Linked DNA regions of Kluyveromyces lactis. The protein of the gene in region 3 purifies or fractionates together with the protein of the main gene of each other region. This does not show direct contact. Links are inferred from orthologs where the notes say so. Each region holds a gene or a part of one and is shown on either strand. Other genes may lie near its edges. The genes, in order: RPN8, RPN7, RPN14 and RPN9.

Region 1 (2,809 bases), on a different chromosome or scaffold from region 3:
TGCTCGGAGTTATTGTTTCCAGATCCAGCTCTAAACGCGAACCGTCTGTGCTGAATCAAACTAAACCCACGCCCCGATATTAAAATACTGGATAAGTTGGGGTTCAATGCCCTCATAAGTAGAGGCTGGATTACCAGTGACATACTCAATCTTCAACTAGCAGTTGATGGAATATATTATCTTGGTTAACTGGGCCTCGGTCTGGTAAATACACTGTTGTCTCAGAATGGTTTTTACCTTCAAAATTGTGCGCAATGAACAATTTCCTCGATCTTTAATCTTCATAAAATTTTCTTATATGAAGAGATGCGAATTTGATATATTAGAAGGAATCAATCTGAAGAGGTTGACGAGAACTAACGAACCGGTACCGGAGATCCATTTAATTCATTGATCAGTTCCATATCGATGCCAATGGTGCTGATCTTAGATATAGACATACATACTGCTTCATTTAAATTCTCATTAAATTTTTAGGAAATATGGCGTAGTTGTAACTTAGTATACAGAAAATACTATATTTGATTATTTTCGTTTCGGTTTATTAAAAGAGTTGCATCAGTTCTTAGTAGGTACCGAATTCGACTCAGCAGGGATGCCGTCATTAGTGGCATCCTCCTTTTGTTCTACTTCAACTTTCGAATGCTTTTCAAGAAGTTTCTTATTTTGAATTTTGTTCTCAATCAAGTTATCAAATGCAACTATGGCTCTGACCAGATTACTTATGTAAATGATCATTAGTTCGTCATTGGTTTTAACTGTGAGGGCTTTTTCCAAATTGTTGGTAACATTGTCTAAGACATGACTTGAGCCGATCATTTCATCTTTATCTGGGGTTCCGAGGTTTGGAAGAAGATTGAAAATGTCTTGCAATTTTCCTAAAATTATGTGGTTCACAGGTAACTCGTTGTTTGCCACTTTTTCCAAGTATGCTACTATGTCTTTCAATTTTCTTTGCAAGCCCCTAAGAGAATTTAATTGATTAGTTAGCTTTATAGATAAACCAGCTGCAGCTTGATCACGGACATCTTTGAGTAGATGTTCAACACCAATTTCTTCCGCCTCGTCTGCTTCCACAGTGCTTGGGATATGTATAAAGGTCCGCTCAGTCGAAGTACCATCATCCTTGATCTGTTCCACAGCCACATATGCGTTCGTTGGTAGTCCGATATCCTCTTGTTTCACATCGAGTATCAACAACACGGGATTATTGTTGGTACTGTACTTCTTGAACAACTCGTTAATCTTTAAATCAGAAGCCCTTAATTTCCCACCACTGTGATACCAACCAATTAGCTTCTCTTTCGCATTGATCTTTTTACACATCTCGTTCATGGTCTCGATGTAGTTGTGATCTAGGAACCAAACGTCTGGATTCTTCTCGTCTTCTTCGAACGGCAACGCAAACGAATTAGTTATCCTCACGGTTGCCGTGGAACTATCACCTAGAATGACACCTAAACATCTCTTGTTCTCCGGAGTATTTGTACGCTGATGATGGTCTAATACGGAAAGTAACACCAATGGTGCAACTGAAACTTGTTCGTAAGGTACAGACATTATCAATTGGTTGTTGCCAAGCTGTTTCCAATTTATAGTTTGATTTCTATTCTCTTAGCTTATCAGAAATGCAGATTGACTAAGCACTTTTTTTGACTCTCTTTTATAAGTAAACCCCAAAACGCTAGATTGGTCACGGTAATTCAATTAGTACAATCTCAAAGTATTATCACAGTTTCGCTTTCAGGAGTGTATAGATCTTCAAGTGCCCCATTATTTCAGGTATTTTTGTCAAATTAATATTTGCCACTAATGTTCTTAATGCTATTTCATTTTTTTTATTTTCAAATCTCGAAATATTAGGAACTGCGAAGCGAACATAATTCAATGCTTAATATTAAAAAGATTCTGTGCAATGAGATGAGATGAAAGGACATGTTTATACGGTTAGGGAGGAGACAAGACGGCTTACGGTTTGTACGAAGACCTTGGGTATACTCTAGAAAATAAATATAAAGATGCCATTTGGCCAAATTGTGATTGGACCTCCAGGGTCTGGTAAATCAACGTACTGTCATGGTTGTTCCCAGTTTTTCAATGCAATCGGAAGACATGTTCAAGTGATAAATATGGATCCAGCCAACCATCGGCTCCCGTATCCGTGTTCGGTCGATATTAGAGACTATATCACGCTAGAAGAGATTATGTCAGAACAGCATTTGGGTCCGAATGGTGGGTTAATGTATGCGATAGAGTCTTTAAATGAGTCGATCGATTTGTTCATATTGCAGATCAAATCGTTAGTACAAGAGGAGAAAGCATACCTAGTCTTTGACTGTCCCGGGCAAGTCGAATTATTCACACACAATTCGGCGTTGTTCAAGATTTTCAAACGACTAGAGAAGGATTTGGATATCAGGCTATGTGTTGTGAATTTGATCGATTGTATTTACATTACTTCTCCCTCGCAGTACGTTTCGATCCTTCTACTTGCACTAAGATCGATGCTAATGATGGATCTTCCACACATCAATGTCTTCTCAAAGATCGATATGCTAAAGGGATACGGAGAGTTGCCTTTCAGATTGGATTACTTCACGGAGGTCCAAGAATTGGAATATCTAAATCCACTTATTGAGAAGGAAGGGTCGGGTGTATTAGGGAGAAAATACTCAAGGCTCACTGAAACCATCGGTGAAATGGTCTCTGATTTCAATTTAGTTTCTTTCGAGGTCCTTGCCATTGATGACAAACAATCGATGATCAATTTACAAAGTGTTATAGATAAAGCGAACGGATACATATTTGG
Region 2 (3,010 bases), on a different chromosome or scaffold from region 3:
ACGTCTTCTGTACCCACCGTAATACCCTTAAAGCAACATTGAGGGTATCTCGTGTTTATCTCTCCCTCTTTCTCTCGATAATCCGGTAACTCCATCAGGAAGTAATCCAGGAAGTAGTAGTCTCCTCTCTCCTCTGTTCGTTTGCGTCGTTAACACATACTACCCTTATTTTCTCGTAGTGTATCGTACTAAATCCTTACACTCGGCCTCTGTTGGGTAGCGCTGCGACCTCTGTGCACTTTTCTTGGTTGTTTTGCTATTTGCTTTGCTATTAAAGCAAAACCTTTACGGAACTTCCTATGAACCCGTTAAAGAAGACAACGTTAAATATCCATTTCCAGCCCATAGCAAAAGACGTAACTGGCGATCAGAATCCGGTATAGCGATACTGAGAATTGTAAGGTGAAGAGGTCTAAAATGAGGGTAGCCCTAAGAGTCTTTGAGGCGCATTCTTTTTCGGTTTCTCATTACAAAGCAAAAGATTAGTGTCTCGACCCTATCGTTGGTTTTATCATCGCATCGAAATAATACTTGTTCGAGCTATATACTCTGTATAATTACTATACTGCTACTACTACCACTATATTATACGATCGGTGCCTGTAAGCTTAACAGCCGCACCATACTTTTGTAGTTTTGTAATCAATCCATCACCCTGTTTTACGAGAAGTTGGTATTGAGCGTTCTTGTTATCTGGCCGATTTGTCTCTACTATACCGTTGACACGGTCGATGACACAGTTGAGTTGTTTCGTTGGTATGAATTTGCTTAGATCTTTGTCTAAGAAATCTTCAGAGACGCCGAATGCACCAGCCATCGATTTTATCGAGAGCGTCTTGTAAGATTCCAATAGTTGAGCGTAAACCATTCTTCTCATTTCCCTTACAAAATAATCGGCGTGTTGGTTCAAATATTTGGAGGGCAATAGCACTTTGTCGTAGGTCTCTAACAAATATGGGAAATAACTTTTATATTCGGAAGTGTAAAGTGAAATGGAAAGGGAGGATATGGATTGTAACGCTGGCGTCGTTGTCATCAACGCTAGCAAGTCAGGCGAATCGATAATCTTTTCCTTCAAATCAGTCCTTTCAAATGCAAATAACCCAGTAACGAACGCGTAGGTAGCGATGTTCTCATACGAGGTAAGCTCGGTAGAAGTGAAAGTGGCTAACGATTCGACTAGTAAGGACGCAGCGGTCTTGAAATCTCTGATGGCCATCGAATGGATCCCCTTATAAGTCTTGTATCTATTTCTTCTTTCCCAATCACCACCTTTCTCAATCATCGCATTGACTCCTTCTAGCTTCTGCTTCACGTAATGCTGATCGTTGTAGAAGAATCCAAGTCTGGTTATAGTTAACATGATATCGATCTTGGCACCAGTAGACACAGCTTTATCCAAGGCCTTGGTCAACGTTTCCTCGGCGTTGTCTTTATCACCAATCTTTGCATAATACTCACCTAAATTGATCCAGGATTGAGCCTTCTCCAACTCACCTTCGTCTTTCTCTTCAATTTCAGTTAAATGATCCTTTAACTTCTTAATCTCTTCTTCGTTCTTCGCCACTAACGAATCGTAAAAGGATTGATCCCACTCAATGGCTCCCGAGGGTAACTCTTCGCACACATGTTTATAATATGGAGCCATATGATCTTCTCTGATCAGTTTCAACAAAGCATCCCTTGAGGCTTCATGTAGATGAGAGAGATTCCCTTGTCCAAGGACAAAAGCATGATCGGATGCCTCGTAATTTGGCACACGATTCACACTAGGATCCACGTATTGAACTTCAGTATCTTCAGACATAACGTTTGTTTCGAATTGTAACTTCCCTGGTACGCTAAAGCAGCTTTTGATGCCTTGTTCCCCTCTGTTTGATGGTGGCAAATGATTGTGTTCTTCCTATATTAGATGTGTTTAAGTCTTAGTTCTTACAATTTGTTAACGAATTACTTACCCGGATATTCACACATATACCGAAAGCCTGTGAGCCTTTCCTCACAGGATCCAGTAACCTTAAGATGTCATTGTGCAATGTACGCTGTACTACGTATTTCTATCCACGCATATGTACATACTTATATGAAGCGGTCTCTTGAAAACACGCCTTCTTTCCTTTAAACATAGTTTCTTTGACGATCTTTGAACATGAAATGGACGACGGTAGCTTGTAAAGTACTGATACTGGCCATGATACCCATTGTCAAAATGGATAGCCATACAATACGGGACTCTGTAGATTGCACAGTCGACATATTTCTCCATTCTCTGGCTCTCAGGTAGTCCATCATCTTTCTGATCTTGTTCAAGTTTCTGTCGATCTCTTCGATTGCATTGTTCGTGATCACATCCTCTGGATTCTCCTTCTCGGACCCCATAGTCCTCTTTTCCAATTCTAACGTAAGTTCAACTTTCTTCAGCGCAGTACCGTGAGTGTTTGTGAAACAGAACTTGTATTGACCGATACCAAACGATTTCAATAGGAAATCAGAGTATTTCTTTTGTTTCTCCGAGATAATGACGGATCCATCTGGGGAAGTGATTTCGAAATCGATTTCAAAGTTGCCACCAGTCAACACTTGGTAACCTACCACTAAGGCGTCGTCAGCAGACATCAAGTCATGGTATAAACATTCTTTTGAGAATGCAGGTAATGAAATCGCAAATGGTGCATAGTTACTGGATTCTGCCGCACAGAATCCACTGATAAACACCAATAGAACTGAAACAATAGAGTATAGCATTATTATATCCTCGTTCCTCGCTCAATTGACTTGGTAATAGCGATATATAGTGGTCTTAAGTAGCATAAAGGTAAACAGATAACCAATTTTGATTCAAAGAAGAGACGTGTTTTATTTCGACGAGTTAACACTGAACAAATTCGAGTTTTTTTTTTTAGTGTTTGAGGGTGGGATCGTGTTTTTTGTCAGTCACGTGTGTGGATGCTCTATTGTATGGTGGCAAAGTTGTCAAAGAAAGGAACATCAAAATTATATAGGGCGTGTG
Region 3 (3,040 bases):
TGTAAAATCTCGTTAAATTTGATCGCATTATCGTTGAACGCAGTGGCTCTAATTTCACCAGAAGAATCCAACAAATTCACATTCAAGATATGGCCCTCACCTCTATTATTTTGCCACTTCTTCAAATCACCTTTGAAAGAAACTCTGGCCTTTATGGTCCAGTTGTTCTGATATGGAGAAATTTGTTCAATGGCAAAAATAGGCCTTGAATTTTGGGATGACCCATTATTCGATTTTGCCTTGGGCACAGAACGTGGTTGTGGGGCTGGAATGTTGCTGGTACTGGTAGGAGCCATCTTAGAAGTCATAGACGATGTAGCAGACGCAGCTGCCGATGCAGCCTCGGATGCTACGGCCCCGTTATCAGTCAAAGTCACCAACTCATTCATATGTTCACCCAAATAAGCATCGACAAATTCTGTAGCATTATTAAACAAATCTAACCCACGGCTAACAATCTCTATCTCATCTACTAACAACACAAACTTCTTCTTCTCTTTGATCACTGCGCATTCCGCGTTCAACACTTTGAAAACATCCCCTCTTTCTAATTCTGCCTGTTGAGCCGCCTCTGCAGCTTTGTTCCTCAAAAGAGCCTTGACATGGTATTTTCCATCGTTGATGAGAATCAAATTCTTTTTAGCATTAGTCTCAGTCTTCTTGGTTTGAACAACCTGGTAAATACCGCCGGTAGGATTGTTGTACCTCTCCGGAATACGGAAAATATCCAATAAATCACCTTCCAATAGTTGAACACCCATCTTCTTCTACCTATTTTAAAGACAAATAGCAGAACAAATCCGTTACTTGACTCGACTTGGCCTGGGTTTCACCTGTAGCTAATCTATAACTGACCCTGAGATGGCGTTGTTTATTTACAGTTCGCCTTTATATACTCTGCGGAAATTCGAAAATTTTTCGTTGAACCAAAATAAAAGGGATAAAATCGAGGAAATTGCTTTCGCGTTTACGCGTCTTACACGTGAGTATCACATGACTATCTTTCAGGTGGTTATTCACGTGACTTTGGGTTTTTTGAGCATCAGGTACGTATTACCTTCATTGATGATGAACAACTTAAACACCAGCAGTGGATTTCTGATTTATGGATTTTGAGCAATAATGTCAGCAGGTTTCCTGTGGATATCAACTGTCCAAACAATTTGCCCGTTTTACTGTATACCTTCCTGTTATTTTCCCTTAGTTAAATATAATGAGAGTTGAGGAATGGAACATTTGCAGTGAGTTTGATGATATTCTTGATGATGTGAGAGGAGAAAAGGTTGCCAGCGATAAGATATGGGTATCCAGGAGCAGTGGTGAGCCATTATACGATTTGGAATTTGATGTACGGTTAGATTCCAGGGGTAATGTTGGGTTTCATAATGCGAATACTTCTGATAAAATTTCCTTTCAAAGGGTAAGGCCACATTTATATGAATTGACAGGACCTGATGCGACAGCAGGACATTTAGCTTCGTTTCAAAGTCCGAAAAAACGGTTCCAACTGCCTTCTGATATTGGAGCTGTTGATTTAACAAGTATAGATATCACGAACGTGTTTGACCCCGAGATACGTTTGGTTTGTGGTGATACGAATGGTGGCATATATGTGCTACGGAAGAACACCGGTACCAATTATAGCGGTCCATTACAAGAAGTGATAAAGTTACCGGAAGCGCACGCTAGTCACATCACCAAGACCCAATTTTTCCCTAACGGCCATGGATTCTTAAGCAGTAGTATCGATATGCGCTTGAAGATTTGGGATGCTTCAACCGGTACTGAGCTCAGAACTTTCATAGGTCATACTCGGTCAGTCAACGATTTTGCCATGGTCGATAGAGGTAGAAACTTCGTCTCTGCAAGTTCGGATGGATCATTAAAACTATGGGAATGCTCAACTTCAGCATGTGTCTTTACGCTCAATTCAAACGATGGCATAAATTGTATTTCATTGGCCAATTACCAGGGAAATCCAGCGACCACATCGTACAATGCATTGGACCATAGCAACGAATACAATACTGAGGGGAAAGCTGTATTTGCTGGACACGACTCTGGTATCATCACGTTTCATGATATCTATAACAGAAAGAAGATATTGGATATTTTACCGGCAAGTAAATCTGCATGTGTCACTCTAACGAGCCAGCACATTGCAGGTGATGACCATTACCTATTTGCTGGCTATTCGGATGGTACGATAGTATCATGGGATACTCGTAACGTTTCCAAACCGGTGGAGACGCTCCAGGTAAATGATAATGATTCTATCTCAAGATTATTCTTGGCACATAACACGTTGAACGTTTCTAGTGGGGTCCAATTTGCTTTCAATGTACCTGTTTTGGACGGGAAATTCAATTTCAATAAGCTTACACATCTAATTCGTCCTTATGATGAAGTGACTGATTTCTGTGTTGATGAATCACATCAAAATGTTTGGTGCGTCGGAAAAAATGGTATGCTATTGAAATACTGATTTGTCGTCCAGTCTAAAAGAGAAGCAATAGAATTGTAAATAGAATTATACCCATATATAGTCCAATAAATTATCCATACGTTGCTCTCATCAATGTGTATAGTAATATCTGCTTTGATATTGTATCCTTCTCTTTTAAACCTTTCTTACTGTGCATCTGAAGGCACCAAAAATCATCTTGAAATCTTAACATCAAAATGAAGAAGTTAACCTTCTACCTCTAAATATGATGATCATGAAACACCCAAGTAAGCCACCAAATCACCTTTGAAGGACGATATAGCACTATAATTTCCTACACGATGAGTAGAAGGATATCTGGTGCTAATGACCCTTTGCTAGACATGTTTTTCGATGATGATTTTGTACCTCAAGCATTCGTCGACATATTGTTATCATCTTTCCAGACAAGCCAATTAGAAGAATTGAAGACCAATTGCTCTAGTCTACTTTCAAAAATGGACTATTACAGTGGGCATATTACAAAAGAACTTGAGTCCACTATTCAGGTGCTTCAGAAGCCTGCTGAACTTATTATATACGCAGCAAATGAGG
Region 4 (3,177 bases), on a different chromosome or scaffold from region 3:
AGAGGTTTCATGAATTTCATGTTACACGCAGAATGGTCTAAGCCAAAACCAAAGAAAGAAGAATGATAAACTGTAAGAACTCGCTGATCAAACTGATATAGTATTTTTTGAAGAGAAAAACTACTTCAAAACTAAGTTCTAAACCCATTATTTCAATACCAAGGTCTCTTTACTTCTACCTTCAAAGTTGTTGCATCTTATCTTACAGCTTATTTGTTCCCTACAATTTATCCCATTCCTTTCATAACATGGGATATCTCTGCGTAGCGTGACGTATGTGTATCCTAATAATCTTACTTCCTGGTTGAACAAATGAGCATATCACTCAGCATCATACGGTTATATTATATGACATTCTTTGACCCATTTTGCTCTCGAACGATACAATAGCATATGTGTATAATTACTACATTCGAGTACTATGTGTGTTACGTATCTACCTGTATATTACAAACTCCAAGATATATCGTCTAACTCTTTCAGAAATTCAAACCGATCAATGAAACATGTTGGTGGATTTCGTTTTTCATAGATATTAAGCGGATGTACGTAGTATATAATATGTGACGATACTTAAGCATTATACCCAAATACTTTTACCCCTTCCTTCAATCTTATTACCCAATTTCGACACTTCATCTTGCCATTTTATCAAGTTATCTTTCATTTTTTTAATTTGCTCTTGGTTGATGATCCTAGGCTGAACCCACGTAATTGTAACCAATTGTTGGACTTGATCTATTGATCCCTTCAACAATCCTAAGCTGATACTTCTCATTACTAAATGTTCAACACTGTCGATAGGTAAAAATGTGGCATCTGCAATATCGCGGAAAGACAACGTTCTGATAGACTTTGCAAACACGCTTTCTACTAGAGTCATCAAACAAATCTTTTGTCTCAAGAATGACTCATGTTGAGCTAAGATTGGTACCTTGGGAATTCTTTCTTTTGAAATTTGATCAAACTTTTGGAAATCCCCTTCAGTTAATGCGTTCAAGAATCTGAATAACCATTCGTATTCTTTATCGTTTGAAATACTTGAAATAATTGGATGCTGAAGTAGTTCACCGAAATTATAGATATTGTCACCTAACAATGCTGCAATGCACAAATTGTATGCCAATTGTTGTTGTTCGAGTTGTGTCAATCGCTGCTGTTGTTCTTCCGAAGTGATTGTTGAGAGATATAAAAGACTGGTATAATAGAAATTGTTGAAGTCTTTCTTTACTTGGTAATAGGAAGCGTTACACGAGTAGTAGGCACCGGTAACTCTGAGAGGTACCGAATCTTGAACATCAAGTGTTTTCCCAATAGCGTCTAGGATGTCTCTGACCTCAACTAGGTCCCCCTTTTCCAATTTCACACGAGCAATCTCAATATCTAACAACAAGTTCCCATTTACATGAGGTTTTAAACCATCGTTTCTTTGCTTCTTTTCATCAATTTCTTTGAATTCCTTTTGAAGATCCTTTAGATATTGTAATGATTCTTCTGTGTCATCGTTTTCTTGTAATGCTTGCAACAAAAACTCAACAACATTCAATTGGTTTATCTTGTCAATGAACTTACTGACAAATTGGGTATAAAGGCGAAGTCTGAACGATTCTGATTTGCTATCATGGAAAAAAATCGCTAGCTTCTCAGTTAACTGATGCCATAGCTTCCTCTCATACAAGTCTTCAAAATCGTCGAATAATGGGGCCAATTCACTATTGACTTCCTGCTTCAATGTAGATAATATGGTGTCAATTTCGTGTGTCATATTTTGACTATTTAAGCTTGCTGAAGTGCTGTTAGTCGTGCGATGTATGCCTTAATCTATAATCTTTAATATTCTGTTCGCCACCTTACATTTCAGAAGGTGTATCGATCTATATATTTCATATTTACAAAACGTCAATCGAAGCATGAAAGTCGTTAATAATGACAATTCTCCAAACAAATGCTGTGAGAAGTGGATGAACTAGATATGTGACAGCAAATCATCTCCATCTGCACTTTCATCATCAAATAATGTAGTTCAATGCAATACTTCATGCCTTTCTTTTTGAGATATAAACCTTTTATATGCTATCTATAGACTGTTTGGCATTTTTCCAAGACTCTGAACAATCCTTTAACCATGATGTTATATTGTGGGCTAGTTCGCGGAAAATGAGGAACCACTTCTCATGGAAATATTTCTCTAAGTTATTCAAAGAGTTATCCATTGACTCATTGACTTGTTGTAAGTCCTTTTCGATGAGTTTGAAACATTCATTCAGTTTTTCAAGTTCCTTTTCTAGTTTGTTTACCTGTACAACCCGTTCGTCTTTAGTTAGAAGATGAGGTTCGACTTCACTTGAAATCGAATCAGATCCAGACTTGTTGTTTGGAGATGCTGATGACCTGAAAAGCCCCATTATCTGTTTGTCCGTGTGATTCTTGTTTGCTGACTTACGCGTCATGGAGTCCATAACTTGAGCAACGGTGGGTGATTCCTCTGCATTTAATTTCAATGCCTCGCCCAATCGTACAGCTTGTAGGTCTGCCTCTTTCAATTCACGGATTCTATCTTTCCTCTTCTTTATCGTAGTTTCAATTGTGTAAAATTGTTCTTGCTTGAAATTTCTGAAGTGAAGAACTCTTTGTGCTTCATGAATGAACTGAAGCATTTCTTTGCTTCCCTCTTCTAGACTGATCATGATTGCTTCACTAAATATCTCTGCACTAACATAATTCACATCGATTGCTTGACCTGTCTTCTCTATTCCCATCGATAGACGATTCATTTGTTCAAATAATGCACTCACTTGAAACACGCTATTCTCTAGACTGAACGCGTTGAAATACGCGCCGAGTTCAGATAAAACAGCCGAATAAGTTTGAATATTCGACCTTATACTTCTAACGGTCTTGTTCAAAGGTTGTAGGATCGCCTTGTACCTGATGAGATCTGAATCGTAATCCGCGAACTTGATCTCCATCACATCGTTCCGGCCTATCAATTGTTCATGCTTACGCATTGTCAGCACCGTAGGTGTTGGCAATAATAAATGTATGGGGCTTGGTTTCGTGGGATTTAATGGAGGCGCTAAAAGATTATTCATTGGTAGGATTGAGATCGGTGGGGTATTTAAAACTTCCTTCCAGAAATATTCTGGATTCAAGAATTTTTGAAACACGATATGATTC

Evidence for each region.
Region 1: the proteins of RPN14 (region 3) and RPN8 purify together in Saccharomyces cerevisiae (affinity purification with western blotting; 4 studies listed by BioGRID, with this or other methods). This does not show direct contact. The link is inferred for Kluyveromyces lactis from reciprocal best matches to the Saccharomyces cerevisiae genes RPN14 and RPN8.
Region 2: the proteins of RPN14 (region 3) and RPN7 purify together in Saccharomyces cerevisiae (affinity purification with mass spectrometry; 3 studies listed by BioGRID, with this or other methods). This does not show direct contact. The link is inferred for Kluyveromyces lactis from reciprocal best matches to the Saccharomyces cerevisiae genes RPN14 and RPN7.
Region 4: the proteins of RPN14 (region 3) and RPN9 purify together in Saccharomyces cerevisiae (affinity purification with mass spectrometry; 3 studies listed by BioGRID, with this or other methods). This does not show direct contact. The link is inferred for Kluyveromyces lactis from reciprocal best matches to the Saccharomyces cerevisiae genes RPN14 and RPN9.

The regions. Positions count from the first base shown.
Region 1 is NC_006039.1:826,860-829,668, reverse strand, and holds RPN8 (proteasome regulatory particle lid subunit RPN8), read right to left. Parts: upstream 1,561-2,809; coding exon 559-1,560; downstream 1-558. Other genes in the region: COX10 (protoheme IX farnesyltransferase), read right to left, coding at 1-143; GTPase GPN2, read left to right, coding at 2,019-2,809. UniProt on the Saccharomyces cerevisiae protein: Acts as a regulatory subunit of the 26S proteasome which is involved in the ATP-dependent degradation of ubiquitinated proteins.
Region 2 is NC_006040.1:1,236,987-1,239,996, reverse strand, and holds RPN7 (proteasome regulatory particle lid subunit RPN7), read right to left. Parts: upstream 1,808-3,010; coding exon 581-1,807; downstream 1-580. Other genes in the region: ERP4 (Erp4p), read right to left, coding at 2,119-2,745. UniProt on the Saccharomyces cerevisiae protein: Component of the 19S cap proteasome complex which acts as a regulatory subunit of the 26S proteasome, involved in the ATP-dependent degradation of ubiquitinated proteins.
Region 3 is NC_006037.1:775,747-778,786, forward strand, and holds RPN14 (Rpn14p), read left to right. Parts: upstream 1-1,213; coding exon 1,214-2,485; downstream 2,486-3,040. Other genes in the region: replication factor A subunit protein RFA1, read right to left, coding at 1-761; Golgi transport complex subunit COG7, read left to right, coding at 2,788-3,040. UniProt on the Saccharomyces cerevisiae protein: Acts as a regulatory subunit of the 26 proteasome which is involved in the ATP-dependent degradation of ubiquitinated proteins.
Region 4 is NC_006038.1:62,872-66,048, reverse strand, and holds RPN9 (proteasome regulatory particle lid subunit RPN9), read right to left. Parts: upstream 1,766-3,177; coding exon 581-1,765; downstream 1-580. Other genes in the region: TIF35 (translation initiation factor eIF3 core subunit g), read left to right, coding at 1-66; SNX41 (Snx41p), read right to left, coding at 2,067-3,177. UniProt on the Saccharomyces cerevisiae protein: Acts as a regulatory subunit of the 26S proteasome which is involved in the ATP-dependent degradation of ubiquitinated proteins.